Lonchura striata: one gene and its partners. The protein of the gene in region 1 interacts with the protein of each later gene in a pairwise test. Links are inferred from orthologs where the notes say so. Each region holds a gene or a part of one and is shown on either strand. Other genes may lie near its edges. The genes, in order: NTAQ1, PCBD1, LONRF1 and PPCDC.

Region 1 (7,232 bases):
TGATCCCAGTAACCAAAATCTCACCTATAACATGCAGTTGTTCCACCCCTTGGGAAGGGCCAAAAATTACACTACAAAAGGAGGGGTTTGGGGCAAAAAAACCCCAAAACAACAACAACCAACCAAATAAGCAAAAGAGAGAGAGGAAAGTCCCTCTGCTTGCTTTGGATCAGCTGATGGACTGTGTCACTCCTTATCCCTGAAGGGACACTTTCAGGTGAGCTTTGTGCTTCCCAACTGTCTTGGAACAGACCTGGGAATATTCACTTATATCTACTGCTAATAGATCTCTGTAACTATTCCTTCTGTAACAGCATATTTTAACACTCTGTAGCTGGTGCATTTACCACCAGCAATTCAGAATCTGCTTTCCTGTCACTTCAATTACCTGCCCTATTTGCAAATCTGGATCCTGCAAGTGCCTACTGAACTCGGCCAGGCAGCCAGTGTCCAATGGGCTATAATCACAGCTTAGGCCCAGCTGCCCCCAGCTCTTCTGATCTCTGAGGAGCAGCTGGAACCTAAGGGGGTTCATTTCTGCTAGATTTCTATAGCTTTAATCCAACAAAAAAAATTCCTAGTACTGGGATTAAGATCTTTTTGGAAGAGTTTTCCTCCTGTCTCTGTTCCATTTATAATGGCATTCAGAGGGATATAAAAATACTTCCTTGCAGAGGGTAGCATTTATCCACAGAAAACCAAAGGGAACTCAGCATATAGTTCTTCATGGATGTTCATCTTGTTCACATTGATGTTTCTGCAAGGAGGATGCTATCGACTTTTACTATGTGAGGAAAGCTGCGATGACCATGGGAAGCAGCTTGTTCCATTTACAACCCAAGGTCTCATTGTGAGTATGCCAAACTAAATCTCACACTAAAAAGGGCAGAAAACAGACTGGACTATTCTACTTCTTCACACTAATATTACCAAGAGATAATTCCACTGACTGATGGAGATGATGAGTGAAGAAGGACCACAAAGATGTTGAAAGGTTATGCAGGGAGAAAATTACAAGGGCCACAGCCCAAACACAATTTAATCTAACTACTGCTGTAAAAGACAACACAAAACATTTGTACAAATAAATCAGCAAGAAAAGGAAGACTAAAGAGAATCTCCATCCTTCACTTGATGCACAGGCAATGGCATATGGCAATGGATGAATGGATAAGGAAAAGGCAGAAGTACTTTGCCTCAGTCTTCAACAGTAAGACCAGCAGTCCTCATGATACCCAGACAGGGACAGAGAGCAGAAGGAAGCTGCCACAATCCAGGAGGAAACAGTCAGTGACCTGCTACACCACTTGGACACCCACACTTCTACAGGCCCCAAGGGGATCCCACAGCACACAGTGCCACATCCAGTTACTCCTTGAACACTTCCAGGGGTGGTGATGCCTTTCCCTCCGCAGCCTGTTCCAAGACTCAACCACCCTTTTTGTGTTAAATTTCTTCCTTATGTCCAACCGGAACCTTTCCTGGTGCAGCCAGAGGCTATGTCCTCTTGGTCTGCCACAGGTTACCTGAGAGAAGAGATTGATCACCCACAACCTCCTTTCAGGTAGTTGTAGAGGGTGATAAGGTCTTCCCTGAGTCTCCATGCCTCCAGGTTAAATACCCCCACCTCTCATCTGCTCCTCATTACTTTCTAGACCTTTCTCAGCTCTTGTCTTTCTCAGGATACATTCTAACACCTCAATGTCTTTCTTGTCTTGAGAGGTCAGAACTAGACACCGGATTCAAGGTGTGGCCTCACCATTGCTGAGTACAGGAATCACTGTCCTGGTCCTGCTGATCACATTGTTTCTGATACAGGTAAGAATGCCCAGACAAAAAGGGAACTCAAATATAGTTCACAAGAACAAACTTGTTCAGCTTTGGGAATTATAAACCTCCAAGTAGGGTTATAGACCTGGAGAAACAGGGCTTCCAAAGGGGTAGTAGCCACTTTGGATGTCACTGGGAGACTCACTCATGAAACTTTCTGGGACTGGAAGCCTGGAAGAGAATAAAACCAGCAGATGTTTGATAACCTTAGATCTCCTGTTGTATGCTTCTTACTGCCCAGGGATGAAATGAGCTGTATAACTAAACATAGACAATATGCTGATATCAGAAAAGAACCCCAAAAGCTGCCACTACCATGTCCTTGCACATCAAGACACGAAAGAGGCATCAGGACTTGAACATGAAGCTAGCACCAGTTCTCATGATCTCTCTTGGAGCACTTCTACATTATTTATACACAGACCCACAACAGAGCCCAGCATCCTATAAATGGGGTGATGACTTCACTTCAAAGCACAGGAAAGGTTGACAAAAAGGAAGGAAAAAACCCAAAAAACAACCTTGCAACCAGTTTCATAACTATGATTCTGCTTTGGTTTCAGGCATAACTTTAATTTCCTCATTCCTGTCTTGATGACATGCCAGCAGTGTTATCTGCCTAATGCTGCACAGCCTTCCCTCCTGTGCAAAGGCTGAACGAGCTCCTGACAAACATTTCTAGTGGAGACTGCAAAAACAAAGCTGTGATCTTTAAGAAGATCCCATGACTCTTTGTAAGGGGGGGGGGGGGTAAAAAAACCCACCACTGCAAGGACTTTTTTCCTTTTTAGTTCAGTAGTCTTGAATAAAATGGCACAAAATGTAAAAATATAAAATTAATTCATACAACTGAGACTCATGAAAGACTTCTGCTGGAAGGAAACAGAGTCTTTGAGAAGCATCACTCCAAAGTAGGGCTCCCCTGAAGAGCAGACCACTTCTGAGTTGGATCAGGTCTGCCTTTATTTGTCACAGAAATGCAGGACAGCCTGCAGAGTAGAGCCTGACTTGGAAATAGCAAAGTTTTAGTTTTTTGAAAGCTATATTAAAAACAATGGAAAGTGAAATGATTCAGTTATTACAGTTGCAATGCTGAGATGCACAGGCCACTTGATATCTATCCTTTACCATCTTCTAGTAGGGCAGATCAAGATTATCAAGAAAGATTATCAATAAGATAATCAAGAAAGCTCAAGTAACATTTTCACTGGTTTAGGTTATGCGCTTTAATTAAGTACAGATGAGCCCCGATTTCTAAACATTTTCTTTTTTAGAGCATACAAAGCACTATTTGGATACAATTGACTAAGGAGTATTTAGCAGGCCCTTCGGGCCAAGCGGAACGCACTCAGAGGTCCCATGTATTTCGTGTCGCGCTGGCTTTGATGCATTTCTGTCATCTAAACAGAGAGCGCTCTAAAAGCATTACCGCAACCGATGCAAAGAGCTTTCTAAGATCTTCTCAAGGTAACTTTTTCAGATAGGAATTGCACCAAAATAAACGGGGATGGGGAATGGCATACAACACACCAAACCAGAGGCGATGCAGGTTAGTATTGCCAAAGACCGGCTCTCAGCACGCTGCCACAGCCCCCGCACCAGGGCTAGTGCCGAGCCCCTTTTAGCCGCGGGGCGGCCGGGAACGGCGGGCGGGCCGGCTGCTTCTTCACGCACCCCCAGCCGCAGCCGCCTGCCCCAAACACTCGGTTCTCCCCTTTCTCCTCCAGGGAACACCACTCCGCAGCGCTTTCTCCGCTCCTCCCCTCCGCCCGGCCGGGCCCAGCGCAGCGCCGCCCGCCAGGCCGCGCTCACCCCACCCCCCCCGCACTCACGGCCTCCTCGGCCCTCCGGGCGCCCCTGGACACCGCGGCCCTGGCGGACCCGGAGCGCGTCCATACGCGGTGGCTTCTGAGCGCCGGGGGCTCCAGCGAAATGAACTCGGAGCTGGACTCCAGGAGGTCGAAGGGGGGCCGGCGACAGCGGCTGTCGCGGGCAGCCATGCGGGGCGGGCAGGCAGCGCTGCTCCGCAGCACCACCATGGCGGGGGGAACGGGACGCGCCCCGCGCCCGCCGCCGCGCGCGCCGCCCGGATCCCTCCGCCGCGCTCCCTCCCGCCCGCTCCGCCTGCGGCGCCGCTCCCGCCCGCGCGGCGGAAGGGCACGCGGCGCACTGCGGCCGCGCGTTTGGCGCCCAAAACTCGGAGCGCTGCGGCGCGGGGCGGGGCTGGCCCGGCTCGTCCCACTCCGCTCCGCCCCGCCCGAGGGTCCCTGCGCCGCCGGCCGCCCCTCCGGCTGTACCTGCGAAGTGCCCGCGCCCAGCCGGGATGGCTGCGGTTTTCTCGGGAATGGCGTAGCGGCTGCCTCCACCGGGCCCAGCGCTTCCTGCTTCGCCCTCAGCCCCGCTCAGAGCAGCCATGGCGCGGCCCGAGGCTGGTTATGAGGCGGCGGTGCCGCCCCGCCCCGCCTGCACCTACAGCAGCTGCTACTGGTAAGGGAGGCGGGGGCGGCTGAGCCGGTGCCCCTCGCACGGCCGCGGGGCGCGGGACAGCCCGGGGCGCCGGGTCAGCCCGGGGCGCCGGCACAGCCCGGGCCGCCGGGACAGCCCGGGGCGCCGGGTCAGCCCGGGGCGCCGGGTCAGCCCGGGGCGCCGGCACAGCCCGGGCCGCCGGGACAGCCCGGGGCGCCGGGTCAGCCCGGGGCGCGGGACAGCCCGGGCCGCCGGGACAGCCCGGGGCGCCGGGTCAGCCCGGGGCGCCGGCACAGCCCGGGCCGCCGGGACAGCCCGGGGCGCCGGGACAGCCCGGGCCGCCGGGACAGCCCGGGGCGCCGGGACAGCCCGGGCCGCCGGGACAGCCCGGGGCGCCGGGACAGCCCGGGCCGCCGGGACAGCCCGGGGCGCCGGGACAGCCCGGGCCGCCGGGACAGCCCGGGGCGCCGGGACAGCCCGGGCCGCCGGCGGGAGCGGCGCGGCTCTGGGCTGAGCACGCTCAGGGCTCGTTTCTCGGCACGAAAAATGCAGTTGGAGGAAAACAAAATCAACGACCGGTTATTGTGTTTTGCAGCGAAGAAAACGTTTGGAAGCTTTGTGACTACATCAGGAGTCAGGATCGGTACCCTTTAGAAGAATTTTATGCTGTTTTCATATCCAATGATAAGAGGATGGTGAGTCAAGGGGATGCGATCAGAGCCAGCTAGGGAAAAGCCCGGGCCTTCCGACCGCAGCCCGGTGCAGGTGAGAATGGTCCCAGCCCAGTGTTGGGAAGTGAGCCTTTAGCCCAGCCTGTAGGTGAGATACACCCCAAACCTGTTTTGTAGCTCACTTTGCCTCGGAGGTGTGCCAACCACACCGCCTGAGATCTTTTAATTATGCACTGCATTCAGGGCAGTAGAATGAGGCATGGTGACCCTGTGAGCTGTGGGAGTAATTCTGTTTGTAATCTGTCAATATAGGAGAATAGTTATCTTTATAAAATCATAGAACCATTAATAACCATAAGGTTGGCTAAGACCATCAAGTCCAACTGTTAATCTAGCACTGCTGTGTTCATCACTAAACTATATCCTCAAGTCTTTTGGATGTTTCCAGGGATGGTGATTCCATCACACTTCTTTTTAATGTGGTCCAGAATAGTATCTCCAACTTCATGCTCCTGAGAGAGAAACTAGAAAAAATTTCTTACTGCAATACAAATGTAAGCTGAAGAAATTGATAGCTTAGCAAAGAACTAGCCAGTTTGCCTGAAAGGAATCTGTATTAATCTGAAAGATTTTATTCACTTCAGGTTCATTTATAACTTTCAGATTCCACTCTGGAAGCAGAAATCTGGACATGGAGATGAGCCTGTTGTCTGGGTAAGACATTCATTACTCTCAAAAATTTTGAGTGTGTGTCTCTGTAGTTGATAGCTGCAGGATCACACATGGGCATGGAACAATCTGTTCCATCTGAACATAAAGGAACACTTTCTACTCCGAGGGTGATGGAGCATTGGAGCAGGATGCTCAGAGGGGTTGTGGAGTCTCCATGCTTGGATATTTTTAGAAGCTATCCAGACACAGTCCTGGGCAGTTTGCTTTAGGAGAGTGTCATTGAGCAGCAGGTTGATGTCCTTAAGTCCCTTCCAACTTCACACATAGCATTGTTTTGTACTAATATTTATAATTATTTTACAACAGATTTATAAATAGCCTAAATCTGGTGCTCCTTTGCACCCTCCTTCATAAATTAATAGCAGGACAATCAGTAAAACCTATAGGTGACAGATCTTAATTATAGTAAGAATGCATAATAGATTTGTGTAAATTATTATCTGGGTATTGAGGCTGCCAGCTCTGTGGTATTGTAGGTAGATGACTCTACTTGTAAGAAGTAGATGGATGAACATATTTATGTAGGCCTGCCAGATGATAGAAGAGTGTAAGTTATATGTGTTTTTAGGTGTCAGCAGTGAAACTGACCCATAAACAGTGGCTTTGAAGTGTCATTTGATCAGTCAATGTAGTTCAGTAATTGCTGATGCAGAATTCCTTGGTATCCTTGGTATCCTTATATAGTCCTTTCAGTTATCTGGTACAGAAAAAACTATTTCTTGTGGCAATTTCTGTTTCTGAAGTTCTGCAGAGTAATCTGCAAACTTGTGAAGTTTTCTGATTTCTGAATCATTCACTTTCTTCCAAAATATTGGTAGCTTTCCAGTACCAAAAAAAAAACAAAAACGATTTGGTTTAAAAAGAGATCCAAGTGCTACAGAGAAGACCTAAAAGGGAATAGCAGAGTCAGGAAACACCATGGCAGAATGTGGATTTCTCGTAAAAATTCAAGCATTCAAAGGTCTTTTAACTTTGACATTTCAATGAATGATAGGTTGTGTAAAACTTGTAAACTAATTTTTCTTATACTCTCTAATGGGTTATTCTAAATATTGTTGAATACAGTTGTGTATATATATACTGGTCTGGTGAAGCAGATTGCCCAAATCTTTTTAATTTAAATTTCTTTGTGGTTTTAATATTGAGAGTGTCAAAAGACAGTGCTCAACCCTTTTTGTGAGTGGATTAAATGTAAAGTAAGTTGTTAGGGGCTACCTTCAATTTAATTTTGGAAAATGGCAGTGCACATACCTGACCTATAATGTAACTGCAGTGTCCTCAAATCTCCACCTGTATTTCTTACAAGTTAAGAAGTCAAAACTGCACTGAATAACCTAAAAGTCTTGATAAAATAGTTGCATTGAAAAAGTGATGTAGTACCCACAGATAATTTCCTGTAGCAGCTCTTGAAGCTGGGAAAAAATGTCTTACCCCTGTGGTCCTCCTGATGCGAGCTGTTCGCTGGTTTTTCAGTGGTGTGCTGGTTTTTCAGGTGCTTCTGGCAGCTGAACACTCGACACTCAAATTCACAGA
Region 2 (7,026 bases), on another chromosome or scaffold:
AACATGCAGCGCCGAGCCCTGCCTGAATAAACACGGAACAAAACTCTTCAACATGGGAAAACGGTTTCCAGACCTGTCGAGATACTCACCCTCCGCCACCCCTGCAAATTTGCCAGAAAATCCAACCTGTTTAACAAAGAGACTCAAATTTGGGCTGAAAATCAGGAAACAAGCTGAGTGAATACAAGGCTCTTCCCTTGTGCCGGGCTCCTGCTGTGCCCAGGGAAGCGCAGAGTTACAGGAATAATCCATCAGCAAGGCAGAGCAGACAAGGTCTGGGGAGGAGGCAGTTTGGATGGAGTGCCTTCCCCTGGGGGAAATGCATGCTGTTGCAGGTCCTGGGTGACCTTGGCAAGGCCACAGACTCAGTGATCTCACCGCTGTCTGCTACAGCCCATGGGGCGAACAAACTCCTGGGAAGCTGGCAGAAAAGACCTGTGACACAGGGGCACGTCAGCTGCCTGGACCCAGAGCCTCCTGTGTGGCTGCAAGGGCAAACTCGGAATGCAAACAGGATTATTGTGTCCCAGGTCTGAGTTTCCTATTCTAAACCATGCCAGAATTGCCTTGGAATGGGAGGTGTCTTCCAGCACTAGTCTGACACGGGAAAAGGGATTCACAGTGTGAAAAATGCATATTTTACAATTGGCTCTTTGCAAATATTAAATTGAATACTATATGTATTATGGAGGGTTATTTTGTAATACTGTATTAATCCTTTTAAGTAGTATGTTAAATACAGTTTTAGGTTACAACATAACATTAAAATAGAAACTATGGGATGTAAGATATTTTTTACTAGCTCAAGAAAGGGATAAGATAATCAAGAAACTCTTTGCACAGAGATAACAGTGACAGGGCACATAAAGAGTTATGGCCTCCTTATCAGAAAAGACAAATATTCTTCCACCTTCTCTCCATCTTTATGGCACGAAGATTAAGAGGAAGAAATTGACAAAAAACGTAAAAATTCTTAATTTTCAAGGAATTTATGCATCATGTATGAGATATATGAATATGCAACAGGCTATTGTTTTAAGGGTTATTCCTTTGTTCACAAGGCAGGTTTTTGACAGCTCGGTGTCCAAAAACATCCGGACATCCCTAATTATTTGCTTTTTATTGTCTCATATTCTGCTAAACCTCATTGTCCAAATTTTTATTATTCTAATGTTATTACTATTTTATAACTGTTTTATTACTAATAAACTTTCAAGATTTTTAAAGACAAGTGATTGGTGTTTTTCAGACACAGAAAAGTGCTCTTGGATACTTTGGACTCAGGTTTGCATCATCATCCTCTGGAAAACCTGAGAAGTAGTCATGAATATGGTGAATCATATTTCTCTGTCACTTGAATTCAGACAGTTTTAGGAAAATCAAAACAAAATGTGCTGAGTTATGAATTATTGTTGTTCTGATCTAAAAGCACGATCACATTTCATTGTTATATGGGAGTTACATGGATTTAAGAGCTTCTCAAATACCAGATAATTCATGAGATAGCCCAATAAACTGGGCATGAGTATCCAAGCTAGCACAGGGAATGGGAATCAAGGATGGTTAAGCAATTTATCCAAAGCCACTTGTAAACTGTAGAAAAACTCAGATTTGTCACAGAATTCACAGAATGACCAGGTCGAAAAAAACCTCCAAGATCATCGAGCCCAAACCAGCCCCAACACTTCAACAAAATCCTGGCACCTGGTGCCACATCCAGTCTGTTTTTAACACATCCAGGGATGGTGACTCCAACACCTCCCTGGGCAGGCCTTTCCAGAACTTCATCACCCTTTCTCTAAAAAACTTCTCCTCATATCCAACCAAGACCTCCCTTCAATGAAACACTGCTCACTGCTATATGCTCTGATATTCCTGAAAGCAGTCACTTCCCACTTTGGGATTTGTGTGTTTGACATATTAGAAGTGGTTATGCCATTTTATTGCTATTTTTTCCATCTTATTTTTCATGCAGGGTACTCTGCCTGAGACAAAAGACCTTAGCCTACACACAGTGTGAGCAGAACAATGCCCCAGTTTCTGCCAGCCTCCACTTTATTTTGTTCATTGCTCTGAGAGCCTCACTGATTTTGATAAAACAGTGCTACAAGAGGAAATCTTGCACATAATTAATGATTCATTTCTGTTTATTGGGCCCTTTTGTCAACTTAAACTTGTCACACCTGCCATAAATCCCCTCCAGTGCTAAACAAACTCTTTAATTAAATCTATTTTGCCATGAGAGCAATGTTTCAGATTGCAGATGATGAAAGAGTTCGGCCCACCCTGGTTTAAAACACCCTTTGGATCTCAGCTTCTCTGGGCAACCTGTGCCAGGGCCTCCTCATGCTCACAGGGAAGGATTTCTTCCCAATATCCCATCTATCCCTGCAAAAGCAAATTTTTAGAGGGGAAATAGAACATTGCTCCCGAGCAAAGCAGCTTTCAGGGTCAGATATGTTTTGATTAAAAATTATCATCAAAATAAGAATACTAATAGTGAGTGACATGAGACCTCCCTCCAAATATGCAGAATCATCTACACATGTGGGTTTAGCTGCCACCAAAAGCAGCACAGCTTTAAAATAGACAAAAAGGAGAGGGGAAAAGAACAAAAATCTGTTCCCAGTAAACAGGTTCACCCCTTGCACAGGGTACAAACTGCTCTGAGCAAACACTTTGCCCAACACCCCTGAATTAATCATTAAAAACAAGCCTAAAGGGTGCCATTTCAGATGGGGAAATTAAAACTGTACAGAAGGGGAACTTAGAGGTTCAGGAGTTGGAGTCAGCCAAGGGATTCCCCTGAACACAATTCCACCCTGTAGAGTGAGGAAAACCTCAACTGCCCGGTTGTTGGACAAAAAAGATGGTCATTTTTTTCCTTTTCATTACCCTGGCAAACAAACCTGCAGAAGGGGAAAAAAAAAATTAAATAAAAATTAAAAAAAAATAAAAAGGAAGGATTTGCTTCCCTCTAAGTTGACTGCTGGAAAAACAAATCATCTCTATGATACCTGCAATCCCTTACAGCAGAAAACAAAATGTGCACAAGGGATGTATGTCATTCTGTATCCAAAAAAAAATCTGGAATTGGTTGCTTCAGAGGTGAAGAAAGACATGAGGGAATAGCAGGGGGCTGAATTTCTGTCTGCCACGTACAGCAGCACAATAAAAATGGTCAGCACTGGAAAACTGCCCATCATGTGAGTGGGTTTAGCAGATGACGAGCTGCAGGACATGGGCACAAATCCATCTGGCCTGGAGAGGGAAAATGCCAGGGAGCAGCACTCAGCAATAGCAAAAAACGCCTTAAAAATGCTGGGAAATGTTGTGAGGGGCACTTCTCCTTCCTCTCAGTCGATATAACCCGGACACTGTCCCGGACGGTGATTATCGGTGCTCTGAGCTATGGATACAGCCGGGAGCACCATCAGCCTCCTTCACACCTGCTAGCAGTATCCAGCGGGGCTGGCTGCAGCTGCCCTGTGAGAAATGATACTCACTTTTACAAATTTTAAAGGTTTATTAAAACCTTATCAAAAATACAACAGAAGACTAAATAGAGAAAATATTACAGGGCCGGGAGCAAAGGATATTTTTTTTCCACTATGTGCTCACCCACACAATGGAGGTTTCGCCTTTTAACCCTTAAACCCCTCCCAAAGTTCTGTCCATGGACTCCTTCGCTGACCAGTGATGGAGTTTTACTTCCTTAAATTCTGATGGGAGGCCAGGTGCTGCCACAGTGACAAGCCAGCCCTCCCAAATATCCCAAACCCAGGATAACAACACAAGGGGGGGGAGGGGTAAAACATAAGTCTATAAAACTTCTAACATATACAGACGATATTTGCTTTTTAATTGTGAGAGTCAACCATGGCTTTACTCTGTTACATGCCCCCTCCATGTCGCTCCACTTCTCCTTGCGCCCCAGGTGAAGAGAGGGGTGCGCGGCTCGGGGGCAAAGCGCATCATGCAGGGCTTCCAAGAGACCCTGTCTGGCCACCCCCCGCACCCCACAGGCAGGAGGCCAGTGCTGGGAAGGCTCTGCTGGCCGTGGGTGGACCCGGTGGCCTCGCCACGCCTCCCAGACAATCGCGGACAAGCCCCGGCTCCGGCGGGATCCGGCACAGCGCGCATCCCCAGGCACGGCGCGCATCCCCAGGCACGGCGGGCACGGAGAGCCGCGGGCCATGGTAAGTCGCCGCTGGGCAAGCCGGCTGTTTGTCGTGCCTTTCGGAAGGCAGAAATGTTGCAGCGGCAGCTGGAGGCTGCGAGGAGAGGCAGCAGGGAAGGGGGAAAGGAACGCAGCGCTGTGGTTAATCAGTAACGCCGGAGCTCCGCCGCCGCGGCTCCGTTCCCAGAGGAGCGCTCGGCAGAGGAGGGGGAGGGAAAGGATCCGCCAGCAACGACCCCCCTCACATTCTTTATGGCAAGGACGACCTCCCCTCACATTCTTTACGGCAAGGACGACCCTCAGGTGTGCTCCATGTGCACAGCCCCCAGCACGCCCTGGCCGGCTGGAAGTCGGCTTTTCCACGGCAGCAAAAGACCCCTGTGGGATACAGCATTCCAGCCCTGCCCGCTCGCCCTGGGCTCCCCTGTACCTTCTCCTAGGTGGAAATTCTAGTTTTCATTAGGGAAAAATTCTTCCCTGGGAGGGTGGGCAGGCCCTGGCACAGGGTGCCCAGAGCAGCTGGGGCTGCCCCTGGATCCCTGGTAGTGGTCAAGGCCAGGTTGGACAGGGCTTGGAGCAGTCTGGGATAGTGGAAGGTGTCCCTGCCCATGGCAGGGGGTGAAACTGGATGGGCTTTAAGGTCCCATCCACCCAAACCATTCCATGATTCTATAAAACAGAAGATTTTAGAGCAAAGAGAGTTCCAGTCTTTCATCATTTCCCTTGCTGGTTCCTTTCCCTCAGTTGCACAATGCATCTACTTGTTTTCCTGCTGGCAAAAAAAAAAAGCCCCAAAAATTAAAATCCAAACTTTTTGGCAGTTAGGAGCCAGCAGAATAAAACAAAATAATTTGATTTTCCTAACAAGAAGAGTGTGTTTTTATGGAGTGAGAGCACATGAAAGCATTAACATGCCACCCTGACAAAACCAGCCTGCTGGCCAATATCCTGGGGTGGAGGAGGATGTTGGAGCAGGATAGAGGGCAGGGGGTGCTCCAGGAAGAGGGTTTGCTCTCCGACACAGCCAGAGGAGTTGTTTCTGTGTGCTCTAGGTGCCAAACCTCAGCCTGGCCATGCCTCCCGCTGGTGCTGGGAGGAGCTGGGCTGGAAAAAGCCCCGGAGGCCATTCTCCCACAGAGTCACAGCGGAGAAAAAGAACAATTACACCATGTCCCCGTGTTGCTCTGCCTGGAGAAGGCTGGTTTGGAGCCCAGCCCCCTGCATCCATACCTCTCTGCTCCAAGCAACAACTCCAGCTTTTACCTTTCCTCTCTTTAGCACGGATAAGGAGCAGGTTTCATCCTGTGCTCCCAAATCCTGGTGCAGCCCCAGCCTATTCCCATCAGTGCCCCGCGGGTGGCTCCCTGCCAGCAGAGCCATCCTCTGTCCCCACCTTATCCAGTTGCTAAGCTACCTGCCTGGCTTATCACACCATCAGCAGGGAAGGGCAACGGCTCTGGGTTTATTGAGCTAAGTCATGTTTGCTCACTACCTTTCCTCCCAGCACAGCACTTTGACTTTTAGGGGGTGGGGAGGGGATGACAGAGCCAGGGCTGCCAGGGGGTCATCCAAAATATGCAGAGGCAAGGAACACTTTCCCCAAAAATCCATTGCACAGAGCTGCAATGCCAGGGGGACAGGAAGCATCCCACCCCCAGTGACACCCTGCACTCTAAGGGTGTGGATATACAGGTAGGTAGGCATCCACAGAGCCACTGGAATGGGGTATCATCTTTCCTGTCTTCCCCAAAACATGTAAGAATCACCCACCAAAACATCAGTTTCACAGCTGGTTCTTCGGTTTTGTGCAGCCTGTGAGCAGGGAAGCCACAGGAGAGGATGATTTGCTTCAGCTGCCCAATGCCATTTCTGAGTATTGATGCCCAAGCGAAGCATCTCAAGGGACTGCTGATCAAATACCCACAAAAAAAACTGGGCCAGGTTTGTCAAGACTCATATCCAACTTGCCACATTTGGCTGTACAGCACATAAAGGAAAATAAATTGCATAGACCTCTTTATCATCACCAACTGGAAAGATCAACTCACACAAACCTGCCAGAGCTCAAGGAGTCTTTGGATAATGCTCTCAGGCACATGGTGAGATTCTTGGGGCTGTGCAGGGCAGGAGGTTGGAGTTTGCAGATTCTTGTGGGTCCTTTCCAACTCAGAACAATCTGTGAGTCTGTGAAAGAATTTTAATTGCCAGGACATAACATTTCAGAGAGCAGTGCCCCTTTGCACTCGCTCCTGCCTTCCCCACTGAGCCAGATCAGAGCTGGCTCAAGCAGCCCCCATCCCCAAGAGCTTCATTTTAGTTTCATCTCTGCCTATAAACACTCCTCAAAACCAAGAACTGCTGCCTCCCCACTATCACCCCTTAAAAACTAAGTACCAGCACCTCTGCCCAAGGCAGAGCTCAACCACAATCCCTCCCTCTGCCCTTTGTTCCTCACAGGCAGAAACAGCCTCTTAAAATCCATTATAATATAAAGGAGAGGAAAAAAGGACCTGAACTGCAGCTTAGTGTGACTCATCTCTGATCCACACCACTTCTTTCTCCTCAAAAGCAGGCTCCCAATAAATGAATAAATAAATAAATATTTTTTTTTTAAAAAAAGCCCTCCTACTTTAGAAACCCTAAAGCAACTCTCAGATCTAGAAATGACCACAAGAGCTTCTGTTTTTCAATTTTTTTTTTTTTTTTAATTTTTTTTTTTTTTTCCCCAGAAAGATTATATATAAAAGAAAATGTATTTTGGAGTTTATCCAAATGTATTTTGGACTTCGGTATCATTTCTTAGTACCTCATGCACTGTGGGAGGTGTTGCAGGTGAGAGGACAGAA
Region 3 (7,715 bases), on another chromosome or scaffold:
ACTCAAAACTGTTTTTGGAGATGAGAAGAGACTTCTCAGCACCACAGACAAACTAGGATTCTGGTAACTGGGAAAGAAGAAAGGAGGCAAGCATCTCCTGGGTTCTGGGTGTCACTGCCCCAAATCCAAAATCACCTTCAGGGCTCTTTTGACAAAGTGGGCAGACACCTCCAAAACTGTAATTGAACCAAAAATGAGGATATAGAACCAGAGAATCATTTAGGTTGGAAAATACTTTTGAGATCAAGTCTAGCTGTTAACACAACACTGCCAAGACTACTGCTAAACCACATTCCTAACTGGCACATCTACATGTGGTTTAGACCCCTCCGTAGATGGTGAGTCCACCACTGCTCGAGGCAGCCTGTTCCAATGCTTGACCACCCTTTCAGTGAGGAAAGTTTTTCCTATAGCAAATTTATACCTCCCTTCGGGCAACTTGAGGCCATTTTCCCATTCTATTGGTTGTTTCTTGGAGAAGAGACCAACCGCTACCCCCAGAGCATTGATCAAAATATGAAACCAAACTTGTCCCAGTACTGAGCCCTGGGGAACCCCAATAGGGCCTGGCTGCCAAGTGGATGTCACTCTACCCACCACCACTCTCTGGGTCTGGCCATGCAGACAGCTTTTCAGCCTGGAACACTGCACATGTCCAAGCCATGAGCAGCCATGCTGCTCCAGGAAGCTTTCTCCAGGAGAAGACTGTGGGAAACACTATCAAAGGCTTTACAGACCAGATTCAGTCTGTCCCTTATCCACCGGCAATTGCCATACTATTATACTATGAAGAATTCAGATTTCACACTGAAGGGAAATCCCAATGAGCACTTGACTGTTTGTTAATTAGCAGTTTATTTAGACAGCTAAAAACTGGTTTTGTGCAACAGAAGTCACTGCATTTAACAGATTTCATACAAATGCTAGAATTCTTGCCTTTGCCAAAAGAAAAAAATCTAAAATAAATCTTGTTCATTTAAAATTCTTTTCTTTTGGAAAGACTAGTCTCTGGGATGAACTCTAGTATCCTCAGCTGCTCCTTGTAGGACTTATGTTCCAAACCCTTCACCAGCTCTGTTAGCCTACTCTGGACTTGTGTCAGCACCTCAACATCCATCTTGTAGTGAGGAGCCCAGAACTGGACACAGCACTTGAGGCATGGCAGCAGCACTGAGTGCAGGGGGACAATCACTGCCCTGGTCCTCTTGGCCACACTACTGCTGACAGTCTAGCCCTGTTCAGCTTACCGTAACTACCTTCTGAGACCAAGCTGCAAATGCAGCTTTTTGACCACTCCTAACTGAAAAAAAAATTCAAAACCAACTTTTGCCCACCACTACGTTGCACAAACAAGGATTAGTGTCTGTTTTACTGCAGTGATGCTGAGGATTTTTCCATTTAAAAATCTCTCTGCCAGATCTCACTAAAGCCCCAAAATTCTACTTAACAACCATGAAAATCTGAAACAAAACAAATCATAGTTGATTCTGAGCATCATTTCTTAACCAGGGCTGAAGGAACTCAAGCATTATCAGCTAAGGTCTTCAAAAGCCATTCAAGAATTTTAAATATGGCTTGATATTTCCTTTTTTTTTTTTGGAGTTTTTTTTTTTTTTTCCCTAGAAGAAATGATATTTAAGTGTTTTGTGGTAGAAAAAATAGTTTTCAGGAATATTATGCTTTTCTAAGTATGACTCTTATTTGCCTAATCTTTCTCTTGTTAATTTTATTTTGCCTCTGCTACACATTTCTTTGCAAAAAGTTACAATAGCTGGGTAACTAGCATTTACCTTCACAGAAAAAGAGGAGAAACAGCCAGAAAGCCATTCTTTCTCTTAGAATACAACCATATCTTTTGGGTTAACTACTTCTTCATGGGGTATATGCCTAGAACCTGTAAAAATGGGGCTTGGCTCCAGATTTCCAGTATGTAGGCATTAATTTTTAGGTCCACTGCCTGTTCCCTAATCTGGGTTGGTCTTGCTTTACTTTGTTTATACTGCTACTAATTTCTGAAGACCTTGAATCACAATAACTGTGCTTAATTTAACTAAAGTGGGATCAAATACAACTTAAACTACTGTTTTATTGTCATCTCATGTAGGTTGCACACACTACTCATACAAGGAATTGCTTCAAAAATGTCCAACCAATACCTTAAAAAGCATAAGAAAGGAATTACTCCTATCTCACTATACTGAAGGCACAGTGCTCTGCAGATACCTTCCTGAATGAGAACCACCAACGTCCATAACCAGCAGTACAATACTGCTCTACAGCAGGAAGGGAAACGACAGTCCCTGAAGTCTTTCTTAGAACGGCCCACATGAACTGCACAATGGCAAGGCTTTGCTATTTTAAAATATCATTTATCTGACCCTACAAGCAAGGAAAAAAAAAAAAAAAAAAAGGTTTTTTGAGTGTGCTATTTTAATGGAGTGGTGGTGGAGCTGCCTGTTATCTAATCTTGAAAATGTCTTTTTCCCTCTCTTACATAACGATAACATCCTGATGGTAACACAGTAAAAATGTTGAAATTTGAAGGCTTTTTCCTTGTTTAGTTAAATATGCCAAAGGTGGAATAATACACCAAAACCAAAGCTCAGAGAATCAACTGTAGTTCAAAGACACAAGAGTGTTAACATTGGGTAATTTCACAGTCTAACGAGGCTCAGTATCATTTCCAACATGGATAAAAAATAATGTCTAGAGAATAAGGACCAGGTGAATATATAGTCTAGCTTTCTTGTAAATAATCTCCGAGATACAGATATTTCTACAACTAGTGAGAGAAATAAAAAATGTCAGGTTCCCTACCCATATATTCATTCATCCTACTTCAAATCCCTTTTTTCACTGTTTCAGTTTTGCAGGGAAAGATAATGGGGAAAAACCTCAAATCTTCTGCTCCAAGATGTTAATGCTGGCAAAGCCATGAGTATTTTGTGCCTTTACACTGGAAATTATGTAAAACAGCTGATTGCATTGATTGCTTGAATCACTAATGTATGAACTTTAATAGGAATTATGGTGGCAATGGTGGAAACATGTTTTCATTTCTACTGTTTTAAATTGTTTCATCAGAGGACAGCTTTACTATTCTAATTCCAATCCCACAAGCCCTTGGGGTTTGTCCTGTTTTATTTGTCTTCTGTATTTCCACAAGTAATCTAATCTGGAATGCAAAATAAACTACTGTTTAACAGTACTTCTTTCAGAGAAGTACTTTTGTCCAAATTGGCTAACTCAAATTCTTTGTGAGGGGCCAACTCATGCTTGACATGTCCACACCAGAATCCGTAATCTATTAAAACCATTCATAATAATTCAAAGCAATCCTCAACATCCCATCACAACTCAAGTTCATATTACAGATATCTACTTTACTTTGATCCTTAGATCAAAAGATAAAAAATTTCCTAACTCACTCAATTTTTTAATTGATTACGGTAAGAGACCATCTTTCCTATCCATATTTAAAATATACCCATGGTGCCCTCATGCTTCAATTACCATAGCATCTTTTTTCTTTGACTTTAGGAACTTGAAAGCCACTGGCAAAGGACCAAGCTTAGAGTACTGAGGTCAGACAAAACACTTGAATGTAAATCCAGATGTGTCTAGTTATTTCCAATCATGCCATGTTTGCCTACAGCTCTCTTAACAACCTTTAGCATCATCTTCCAGCCTGCCATACATGGAACACAGCTGAAGATATATACAGCTTTGCTCCTTTCGTACAGTCATATATTAATTTTCTTGATGTGCAAGCTTTCCTTGGAAGGTTTTAAAGGTACTGCTATATTTATCTGAAACGTCTGGATATATGACAGACTTCTAACGTTAAAAAAAAAAAAAAAAGGCACTGTAACAATTATAAATACATAGCACTTATGCAATAGGCTTCAAGCTTCCTTTAGAGGCTGGCGTTCACCTGGAAAGCCTGAGCATTTCCCAGTGGGACTACTTGAGGCGAAACCGATCAGGTGCTTCCCCGCAGAGCCCGCCTCGGCAGCACACTGGCGGGGAGCGCGGCTCGCTGCCCGCCGGGCGCGTCCGAGTCCTGCGAGGGCTGCGAACACTCGGGGAGAGAGGGGGGGAAACAAGCCCTAAGGACAAAGAGCTTTTCCTTAACCTTGTAACTTTTATCTTATCGTGTCCTCCATTAAAAGACTAACAAAGAAGGAAGAGGGGCAAGCCCAAGCGGCCCAAGACGAGTGCGAGCAGCAGCCGCAGGGAGGGCGGCGGGCGCCCGCCGGGCGATGCCTCCGGGACCACGGCAGCTACAGAGCCCCGTTCCCCGCTGCAGACCCCTCTCCCGGCCCCGGTGACTGTCCCTCTATCCCTGCCTCCCGCACAGCCCTGCTAGCGCCCGACCCTCACCACGGCAGCCGCTCCCCGGAGTCAACCCGCAGGGCCGTCCCTCTGGCCCCGCCAGCCGGCCCGGCCGGGGCGCGCCCCCTGCCCGGTGCCGGCGGGCCGCGGGGGGCTCCGGCACCGCCGCCCCCGAGCCGGCCGCTCCCGGGCGGGCCCGCCCCGGCCCGCCACGTGACCGCGCGGCTGGCGGCGCGCGCGTGGAGCGGTGTTTTGTAACCTCCCCCCGCCTCCTCCCGCCCCCCGCCCGCGCCGAGCCCGGAGCCCGTCCCGGCGGCCGGAGCGGGAGCGCCACACCCCCTTCGCCGCAGCCGCGCAGCCGATGGCAGCGTCCTCTCCCGCCGCCGCCGTGGGCTCGGAGCTGCCGCCGGAGCCGGGCGGCAGCGGGGGCCCCGGCGAGGGGGCGGACGAAGAGCGGGAGCTGCCGCTGGCGCGGCTGGTGCCCGCGAGCCGCCTGAAGGAAGCGGTGGGCGCGTCCCTGGCGTCGCTGTGCCTCGGCCCCCTCGGCGGAGCCCAGCGCCTCGGGACCCTCGTGGACTGCCTGGTGCTGAACTACCGCCTGCGGCAGGGGCCGCGCCGGGGCCGGGAGCGCGGGGCCGAGGGGCCGCTGCGCTGCTGCGGCTGCCGGAGGTTCCTGGGCGAGCCGGTGACCGTCCCGTGCGGGCACACCTATTGCCGCCGCTGCCTCCGCAGGGAGCTGCGGGCCCGCTGCCGCCGCTGCCGGGACTGGCTGCTGCCGGCGGGGGGCACCAGCACGGCCGCGGCCCCGCTGCGCACCAGCGTCGTCCTCAACCGGCTGGCGGAGAAGTGGTTCCCGGGCGAGTGCGAGAGGGCGAGGGCAGGGACTCGGCTGGAGGAGCTGCTGACCCAGGGCCGCTTCCGAGAGGCGCTGGGCGCCGCCAACCAGGCTCTGCGAGCAGGTAAGGCTGTGGGGAGCGCTCCCTTCCTCCGCCCTGCCGCCCGCCGGGGCCGCGCGGGCTCCGCCGGTGCCGCCCGTGTCCCGGCGGGACCGGGGCGGGCTAGCGGCCCGGGGCGGCAGGCTCGGGGGGCTGGGGCTGTGGTGGAGTAGGTGGATGCGCCCTTATCCCCGAGTGCGGCGGGACCGCCAGCCATCGACGCGTGCCGATGAAGAGCGTCCGAAGTTTTCTCGAGTTTGAAGGGATCCGAGGAACCTCTCCATTGGGAGAGCGGAGTGGAGGGGACGCGCGGCTGCCCGGCCCTTGGTTGGGCGCCCAGCCTGCTAGTGGGGTACACCTGCTTCTGCTTACTCCAGAGGGGTGGGCGAGCGTCCCGCATGGGCTGCGGTCTGTCTCCCCCCGCACGCTTCTGTGGGACTTGTTTACAGAGGAGTCCGTGGGCTCTGCTTCGGTTTGTGTTGGGTAATCGCTGTGCGCGGGCAAAGAGAAATTCCGTTGGTGTATTTAACCTTGTTTCCTGAGAGAGAGAGACCTATTTTCAGTCTTAAGTGTCACCAAGACAATTCCCAGCAGGCCGGGCCGAGTTGCATAAGCAGACAGGCACGGAGGGGGACAGGTTGTGTAATGGCAGTGACATCATAGGTGGGTGTGGTTGGAGTTTTATATAGTGTTGAAGAGGGTCCAAAGAGGGGAGGTAGAGGCACGCTTTTAGGCTATCCTATATCCGTCGCAATCTGGCTGGTACCATGGACTCCTAAGATACGCTCAATTTTTCAAAGTTTACTCTTTATAGAGAGTCAAATTTATGTGATTGATACACCTAGATGGATCCAGCGAGGGATTCCTTCGTTATTTTAATTTGACTATGGATTTTAACACCTGGTGACATGGGAGGTTCTGTTATGAATTATACCAGGATATTTTTTTTTTCTGTTCGGTAATTTAGAAATTAATATTTTTACAGATTAAGTGTATTACGTTTATACAGTTGTCTGCAGTGGAGATAAAAAACCAAAAGCTTGCATAAGTCTAATCCTTCCAATCTGTTCTGGGGAGATACATTAGGTCTAGCTCCAGAATAAACTGTTCTCAATGTAGGTGGGATTAAGTCGAATATCTATTTTATATGCTTTTTGGCAACCTAATTTTAAGGGGTTTAGCTTTGGTTATTGATTTTACTTTATTTTCCAGGGTGTTTCCAAAGTGTAAGAATACAAGATGGATTTTAAATCTTGAAACTATAAGATGCAGACTTCTTCCTGAAGTACAGCTTTGACTCATACAGGTCAAAAAGAAATCTCAGTAGTTTCCAGGGTAAAATTGATGAATCCAGTACTGATCACATATGTTTACAGGGCTCCTTTTTCATGTTTCAAGACTGCTTTGAAAGAATAAAAGACTGAAATAATTACACAGTTTTTGTTAATCTTTCTTTTATGGATTTAGGAAGATTATTTAGATATTCCTAAATATGGGGAAAGAATTTTGATTCTTTTTTATGTGAATCTGCATCTTCTTTTTGGCTTCAAAATGGGTTTGAAATTTGAGTATACTTACCAGCTGTGATGCTTGTTCAAAATTTTATTATTCAAGTTCAGTACATGTGCTATAATTAAGTATTAGAAGCTCAGTTTAAGGTCCATTGTACCGTTCTTTCCTGTGTCTTCAATCCTTACAATTATCAACATTACACATATTCTGGAAAAGATACTGAAGAACTTTGGGCATCAGTGTGTAGGCATATGTTATGTGAATTTAGAACTGCGGATTCACAACCACAAATTGAAGATGATTCCAGGTCAATAGATAAATTAATAGCTGCTGGTATACTTTCCATGTTCCTTCAAACCTTGAATTTTGAAGACACTTAGAGATGGAAAAGATGTAGCATAAGAAATGTGTTCATGTTTAAAATAATTCGTGTTCCATTTCAGCGTTTCCTTACTGCTGCTTCATCTGTTTCTTTTTAATGCACATAGATAAAAAGTTGTGATAAACTTAAATCTGTCCTAAATACGTCATTGATGGTAAACCTCTACTCAAATGGCATCTTTTCATAACTTTCTTCTCTTTCTGAAACATTTGAAAGAGTCGTATTTGCCCTTATACAAAAGTGACTTTAAAAACCAAAATAATGTTAACATTCATATAGCTAGTATATTCCTTGCTGAAATGAAATAGCTTAGTTAAAGGAGCTCTTTTAAATTAAAATACAAGTGCAGCTTGCCTTTAATCAAGTGTCCTGAAACACACCACTAGTGGGTTGAATTTGATCTGATTCTCACTCATTCCTTCTCGAGTGGACATCAGGAGATACGTTGAGCAATCAGTCTCCTGTTTAAGCAGAACAAATACTGTGATCAGAGCAGTTTGCTTGAGGTTTTGTACAGCTGGATCATGAAAACCTACAAACTGACAATTCCA
Region 4 (6,985 bases), on another chromosome or scaffold:
ACTGGATGTCACAGACCTCTGGGGCTGCACAGAGAGCTGGAGTCCAGCTGTCTGCAGCTTTTAATTATGAAACAAACACTCAGAGAGAAGCAAAGGGTTTAAGCCACCCTCTACCACGGGTCATTCTGCCTATCAGCTGCACAAAAGGATGTCTCAAGCTCCAGGAGCAAAGGAAAATGGACAATAGCCAAGCTAATCCAAGAGGGAGAGGATTAGAAGATCTCTATCTCTGGCTCTGGTCACCCCATTCCCTGATGTCATTTTTCTTTGTCCTTCTTATTTCAGGCTGGGACCTTTGACCTCACTGATCACATCAGGCTAAATCATAAATTAACTGAGGCCTCACCTCCAGCACCGTTTCCAGTTTGGATCAAGCAGATAAACCAACACCTTCTCTGCCTCTACTGTGCCCACAAGGTACAGCCTCCCAAGTCATCCCAAAGGATATTCATGCAGCAATCTCGTCAAAAAAACTGCAGATTTCAGTGCACCCTCTTGCCCCTGCCACTTTTTTCTTTCACTGCTCCAAAATATTTCCTGTATTTCTAAACACCTAAAAGTTTTCTGTGTTTAACTTTATCCTACAGCAGAAAAGGCACATTTCCCTCCCTGATCAGTCACCAGTGGCCCCTGCTGGGCACCTCTGTTACTCCAGAAAAAAACAGTAAAAAAATACCATACAAACCTATACAGCAGCAGCTTGTGTTCTCCATTTCTGGTTTTACAAGGTCTGTTTTCCCTTTCTGGATCACATTTGGAAAAGCCATATCCCACCCATGGAAAACTGCAATACCCTGGAGATTTCAAGTTTCAGAAGCATCTCTATCTGCAACCACGTCTGATAACTTGACTGACAAGAACAAACTCCAGGAAAAAAAAAAAAAAGAAAAGATACAAAGCAAAAATCTTTTCAAATATAAAATGGTAAGAAAGAAGAAAGGGGGGAAAAAAGGATTTTTAAAAACAGGTGGAATCCTCCTCACAGAAATTTTTGAACTAAGGGGCCCCGAGGAGGAACTTGTCATTTCAGCAGAAGCCACGTGAGCACTGCTCAGAACCAGGGTAACTCCAACTTTACAAAGCTCCACCAACAGCTTCACTCACCGCAGGGATTTTCAGCAATTCCGCGACCAGCAGGGGCAGCTTGAGGGCAGCCACGCTTCCAGTCACTCCCACCAGCACATGGAACTTTTCCTGTGCCACAGATGAGCTGTTTCCTGCAGCAGTGCCTGGTTCTGGCAGGGAGATGGGCTCCATGCTCCAGTGCAGCTGTGCAGGCACAGGAAAACAAAGACACTGCACTAACAGAGCCTCCCAGCACAGCTCCAACCCCAACACATTCCCAAGAGGATCTGACCTGGACTCTGCAGGACCCAGAGCCAGCCAGAACCATGGGATGACTCTGGGTCACCCCCCAGGTGCCACTCATCCCACAAGGATTTCAAGCACCAGCAGAACTTTAAGGGTAGCTCAATGTTTAATTACATTTTTCTCTAAGATACTGGGAAACAGGCTCCTAAAATTTGAGCAGAGAGGCCACAAAAGCATCCTGGTAAAGTTCATGCCCTCCAAAATTAAGACTCCCACATGTTGAACACAGTCCAGAATTTAGGGCAGATAAATAAATCAATTTGAGATAAAATTTTACGCCAAGTTCTCTAAAAGCAAACAAACCCTTGCTGAGTTGCTTTCCCTCTGTACTTTCTGGTGATTAATAAATGCACAGAGATGTCTTAATAATTAAAAATGTGGGGCCTCTCTGCATGCACAATCTTGTTTCTCACTGTGTTCCTAAATATTAACAGCAGCACTAGACAGAATTCCCTAGCAGCTCTAATTTAGGTCTGCAGCTTCCTCCTGGCCTTCCTATGCTGCTGCCACACTGATAAAAAAACAGGAATTAATGTTTCGGTGGAGAAAATGACACAAGTGTCTCAAATATAATCAATCAATGATTAAGCAGCAACGAGTAAATTCAGTTCTTGAAAAATCACTGCAACCAGTAAAGTTTGTTGCATTTTAGTGATGTCCTTGTTGCTCAAAGAAAGTGTTTGCAATCACTTTGGGCGGAAAGAAGATGGACACAGGCTGTGCTGATGATTTGGGAGGAACTCAGAGTCTGGAGAGAGGAATTTCACACGACCACAGCGTGGTTTGGGTTGGAAGGGAAATTAAAATTGCCAAATACCACCCTCTGCCATGAGCAGGGACACCTCCCACTAAAAGCCCAATTTCAGCTTTGCTGATTAGCAAGGGTAATTAAGAGGTGAGGAAATGTAGCAGAACATTGGCTGAGAGATTTTAATGCCACCACCACACTTCACATATTTATCTATATCTAATTAAAATCAGATTATGATGATTATTTATAAATTATAAAAGTTATTATCTACTTAAAGCATCCTTTGGATGCTTCCAAAATGTGCACAATTCTACTGAAGCATCCACAAATTAAAGCCTGGGTATTGAAACGTACATTTTTAAGTAGGAAACTTTCCAAATGGTTATAAATTATAAAGTAATGATGAAAAGGATAAAAATTATAAAATTAGAAAAGAATTATTAAAATAGTAAAATAATGGTAAATACAGTAAAGCAGTGGTAAAAAGGTCAAATTTTTAAATGGTACAAATATAAAAATAGCGGCAAAAATCGCAAAATAGTGGTAAAAATTATAAAATAACAGTAGAGGATTATAGTAAAAGGTGTATGTACAGTAATATATGTAATATAACGATTAAAAAACCTGTTGGGCCGCGCTTTGCTCTTACCCAAACACAGCTGTGGGGAAGCAGCCACTAGAAAACGAGCAATTTACAGGCCCCTAAAGGTTCATTAAATCGACTTTTAATGCGGTAGCGGTGCTGAAAGCGGCTCCAAAAGGCCGCACAGCAGGACCGGGAAGCCCCGGGGGCCCGCAGAAGGTGAGACACAGCGCTCCGACACCGCCCCGGGCAGGGCCGGTGGAACCGGCAGGGCCGTGAGGGCCGTGAGGGCAGCGGGGCCGCGGCGGGGGGCGGACCGGAACTGGGGGGGGGGGGTGGTGGTGCCGGGAACCGGCGCACGCACGGCGCTGATTGGTGCGCACTGCTCCCGCTCTCAGCGCTGATTGGTGCGCCTTGCTCCCGCCCACGCACTGATTGGTGCGCACTGCTTCCGTCTCTCAGCGCTGATTGGTGCACACTGTTCCCGCCCTCAGCGCTGATTGGTGCGGGCAGCGCGCGCGGCCGGGGGGAGGAAGGGGTGTCATGGCGGCCCCTCACGGCCCCGTCCCGGGTCATGGCGGCAGTGCTGCCACCCTGAGCGCTTGGTGCCACTCTGTGCCCCAGTCGTGCCCACGCGAGACATCTCGCCAAGGGCAAGGGGGTGGCTTCAGGCTGCTCAAGAAGCAATCTTAACGGGGATTTTGGCTCGTGGGGAGGTTTTGGAACGGAACAAAAGACAAAAAAACTCGGCGGTAGAAGGCGTGTGGGGAACGGGGTCGAGGAGAGGGTCTGAGGGTCCCTCAAGTGACAGGGTGATATCTGAGCCTAGGAAAGTGCTAGACACCAGGAGTGAAACCTTTCCTTTGGGATTCAGGGCAGCCACACACAGTTGGCAGGGGAAAGTGGATTAAAGGACTGAGTATTCATTATCTGAGGGACAGACAGGATGAGGGGAATGGCTTCCCATGCCAGAGGGCAGAGTTAGGTGGGATAGTGGGAAGGAATTGTGCCCTGGCACAGGTTTTCCAGAGCAGCTGCGGCTGCCCCTGGATCCCTGGAAGTGTCCAGGGCCGGGCTGGATGGGGCTTGGAGCAGCCTGGGACAGCGGAACATGTCCCTGCTGGAAGAGCTGTAAGGTCCCTTCCCAGACAAACCATTCCATGATTATGCAGGCACAACAGATCAGGGGCAGCACGTGGTGCCCAGCCCTTTGCAGTTTTTTGGACATCCCACTGATACTTGTTACGAACAAGCAGCAAGGACAGAAGAGGCAGAGAGAGCAGTGCTCTGCCGCCTGCAGGACATAGAAGGTGACAAGGAGACCTCAGGAGAAGCCCTGTTGTGTTCTATGGGAGGCCTCTTGCCTCTTGCAGGAACACCCCATCTCTCCCACCCCGTGGGCTTCGGGAGCACCACCACGCTTTGATCACACCTGCATCAGCCCCACCTGGAGCAGGGACAGCTTACAAATAACCAAGGTGAGAACAAGGGGTTGAGTTTCCCACCTGGCTGGAGCCACGGGGACATTTCAGCGCTCACACACTCAGGAGACACATTGGAGAGGAGGGTTAGGTGCTGAAGCAATGTCTGTTAGTTACAGCTCGTTACAGTTATTATTGATGCATCTTATTGTCAATGCAAGAGGTGAAGTCACTTAATCCATCATTTCTCAGACACGGATGACAGAGCACGTGGTTTGGCAGAGTTAAGTTTTAGGCGAGCTAGAAATGGATTGCACAATATTTAAACCTGATTAAGTACATAATAGGCTTAGCGAAGGATTACTTTTCTCCTGACATTTTATACATAAATATATATACACACACACACACAGACAGGCATTTTATCAGTAGCTGCATTTTAGTCTGGTCAAGAGACGACTGCCTATTGCAGAATGACTGGAGTGACACCCTTAAAAAAGAAACTAGTCTTGGTGTGCTTTGCTGGAGAAGAGAAGGTCCTTTTTGGGGTGATTCTCAGGGGTAGGGGTCACATCCAAGCATCACTGGAGGGGACAGATAGGGGGCCTGGGACTTGCACAGTCCTGGCTGGTGGCACACTGAGCTCCTTCCCTGTGCCAGGCAGGAGATACTGGAGCCAAAGGCTGGATTGGATTCTGTTTGGGCTGCTTTTCGAGGACTTGGAGAAAAATTTGGCTTATTTAAAGTGCATTTAGAGTTGAAAAGCATCTCAGAGAAGTAGCTTTCCCTACTCCTGCCCTGCAGCATCCATCCCATTTATGCTCCCATTCATAATCTTTTCCAGGGTGTGCCAGTCACTTTCCCCAGGAAGTGTTGGTCTGAGCTCAGCTGCCTCCTGCTAGGGTGCAGGATCATTATTTAATGTCCGACATCCCCAAATTGGGCAAGGATTTGGGCTTGAAAGGGATTTCTGCACCAGGAAAACACACAGCCACATCTCACCAGGCTTTTTAGGAGCACAAGTGAGCAGGAGTCCTTCCCTCCAGCCTGGAGGTCTCCTTAAGAGAATTAAATTAGCACAAACCTCCAAAGCTAACGGGAACAAATCTTGGCCTGGCTATTTCCATGAGCAGGGAGACTGCTTGGATGTCCTGGGATACGGGGTGGCAAGATTTGACCCGCAGCCTTGCCCAGGCATAGGTCCTCTGAGGAACGCTCTGTGGCTTTTACAGCTGCTTTTCAAAACAGAAGCCTTAAAAAAAAACAGACTCAGGATGCAGAATCTGTAATGGGATGGTTGTATCCCACAGGGAAAACCTGTCCTTGCTCCCCAACACACACACACACGTGCACACACACACACACTGGTCCTCCACATCGAAGTGTAAACTACTCACTTACAACACCACACACTGAGAGAAGTTGTAGATCCTGAGCCAGGGTGTAGATTAGGAATCTCTTGGCTTCCAGCATATCAACAGCAGGATTGAGGGTTTCTTATATTTTTTTCCCCTTTTTCTTTTTTTTTTGTTTTTTTTTTTTTAATCCTAAATCAGCCAGCCACCTGCTAGTTAAAAAGCAAAAGAAAAAAGGAGAATTCCCAGGATTGCTTGCCCTTGCTGAGACAGTGTCAAGTGGCTGGACACTACCAACTGAAAGAGAAAACTCACACACATCAAAAACCCAAAGTTCGGGGCTTATTCCAAGAGGGAAGATGGGTGCTGGTTGCTCTTTTTCCCTTTTTGGGGGCATGGGGGGGCTTTTGGCTGATGAAGTTCTAACATACACCTACCACCACAGTAATTAAAAAAACCACCACCGTACACTATTCCACAGGGTAAAAGAAGACACGTGAACGGACACTGACTACCACACACAACAAGAGCCCTGCAGGTCAACTCACGGCCTCTTCAGAATGAAAAAGAAAGGAGAAAAGAAGAGCTCAAGACAAGAAAAACAGAAAAAAAGAAAAAAGGAAAGAAAAAAATCCCAAAAGATCTCGTTACAAAGACGGGAAAAGAACCACCATTATGGTACACTCTGACTTTCTGAGACAGCTGCAGAAACTCGGCTCAGGCTTCCTCCTCCCTTTTTCCCCCCCAGCTCTTCCTCCCGAGGACAGAGTCCTGCTGCTGCTCACATCTCGTTGGAGTAGGTGTAGTTGGGGGTGGCCGAGTACTGCGTCTCGTGCTGCATCATGGCGCCCTGCGCCGCCCCCATGGCCGCGTTCTGGGCCGCCTGCTGCACGTGGGGATTCTTCCAGGCCCCCGTGGTCCACTCCTCCTGCGCTTTGCTGAAGCTCCCGCCGCTGCCCCGGTAAAACTTGTGCACCTGCAGGGAAAAGCCAGAGGGGCTGAGCGCCTGGGGTGGCAGGAGGGGCACCCAAAGCGATGTGGAACCCCTGTTTTTCCTGCCGTACCATGGTGAGGGCAATGAAGGAGAAGACTGCCATGGCTGTGAAGAGCACAGTGGGGATCAGCATCACCACAGCCGAGCCCACGTTGGTCCCAAAGAAGGAAATCGCTGCAATCCAGCCACTGCAAGGAGATGGAAACAACTGGTTCATTCACCAGCTCTCCCCTACTGCCAGAACCCTCCCAACTCCTCAAACCATCTTCCCCAAGGAGAGAACCAGCAAAGATGCTAAAACACCACAGTGACCACCCTTGTACCCAACACAGCAGCATTTTCCTTACCAGACCCCCCATCCAGGGATGCCCACTGCCTGGATGATGCTGATCACCAGCTGGGCCATGAAGGTGAAGAAGAAGGCCATGAAGCTGAAGGAACTGTCTGTCCTGCAAGAGAATGTTCAGTCACTCCTGCACCTCCATCCCTGCTGCACTCCAAGGGAAGGGA

What was found.
Region 2: the proteins of NTAQ1 (region 1) and PCBD1 interact in binary tests that used the Homo sapiens proteins (3 or more experiments, as listed by UniProt). The two-hybrid records come from large-scale screens. The link is inferred for Lonchura striata from reciprocal best matches to the Homo sapiens genes NTAQ1 and PCBD1.
Region 3: the proteins of NTAQ1 (region 1) and LONRF1 interact in binary tests that used the Homo sapiens proteins (3 or more experiments, as listed by UniProt). The two-hybrid records come from large-scale screens. The link is inferred for Lonchura striata from reciprocal best matches to the Homo sapiens genes NTAQ1 and LONRF1.
Region 4: the proteins of NTAQ1 (region 1) and PPCDC interact in binary tests that used the Homo sapiens proteins (3 or more experiments, as listed by UniProt). The two-hybrid records come from large-scale screens. The link is inferred for Lonchura striata from reciprocal best matches to the Homo sapiens genes NTAQ1 and PPCDC.

What each region holds. Positions count from the first base shown.
Region 1 is NC_134603.1:12,563,043-12,570,274, reverse strand, and holds the start of NTAQ1 (protein N-terminal glutamine amidohydrolase), read left to right. Parts: upstream 1-4,210; 5' UTR 4,211-4,243; coding exon 4,244-4,317; intron 4,318-4,891; coding exon 4,892-4,991; intron 4,992-5,630; coding exon 5,631-5,681; intron 5,682-7,232. Other genes in the region: ATAD2 (ATPase family AAA domain-containing protein 2), read right to left, coding at 3,663-3,869. UniProt on the Homo sapiens protein: Mediates the side-chain deamidation of N-terminal glutamine residues to glutamate, an important step in N-end rule pathway of protein degradation.
Region 2 is NC_134609.1:34,047,309-34,054,334, reverse strand, and holds the start of PCBD1 (pterin-4-alpha-carbinolamine dehydratase), read left to right. Parts: upstream 1-4,017; 5' UTR 4,018-4,196; coding exon 4,197-4,199; intron 4,200-7,026. UniProt on the Homo sapiens protein: Involved in tetrahydrobiopterin biosynthesis. Seems to both prevent the formation of 7-pterins and accelerate the formation of quinonoid-BH2. Coactivator for HNF1A-dependent transcription.
Region 3 is NC_134606.1:27,775,310-27,783,024, reverse strand, and holds the start of LONRF1 (LON peptidase N-terminal domain and RING finger protein 1), read left to right. Parts: upstream 1-4,696; coding exon 4,697-5,294; intron 5,295-7,715.
Region 4 is NC_134613.1:5,863,327-5,870,311, forward strand, and holds the start of PPCDC (phosphopantothenoylcysteine decarboxylase), read right to left. Parts: upstream 3,014-6,985; 5' UTR 2,772-3,013; intron 1,270-2,771; 5' UTR 1,258-1,269; coding exon 1,105-1,257; intron 1-1,104. Other genes in the region: SCAMP5 (secretory carrier-associated membrane protein 5), read right to left, coding at 6,263-6,457, 6,546-6,663, 6,823-6,924. UniProt on the Homo sapiens protein: Catalyzes the decarboxylation of the cysteine moiety of 4-phosphopantothenoylcysteine to form 4'-phosphopantotheine and this reaction forms part of the biosynthesis of coenzyme A.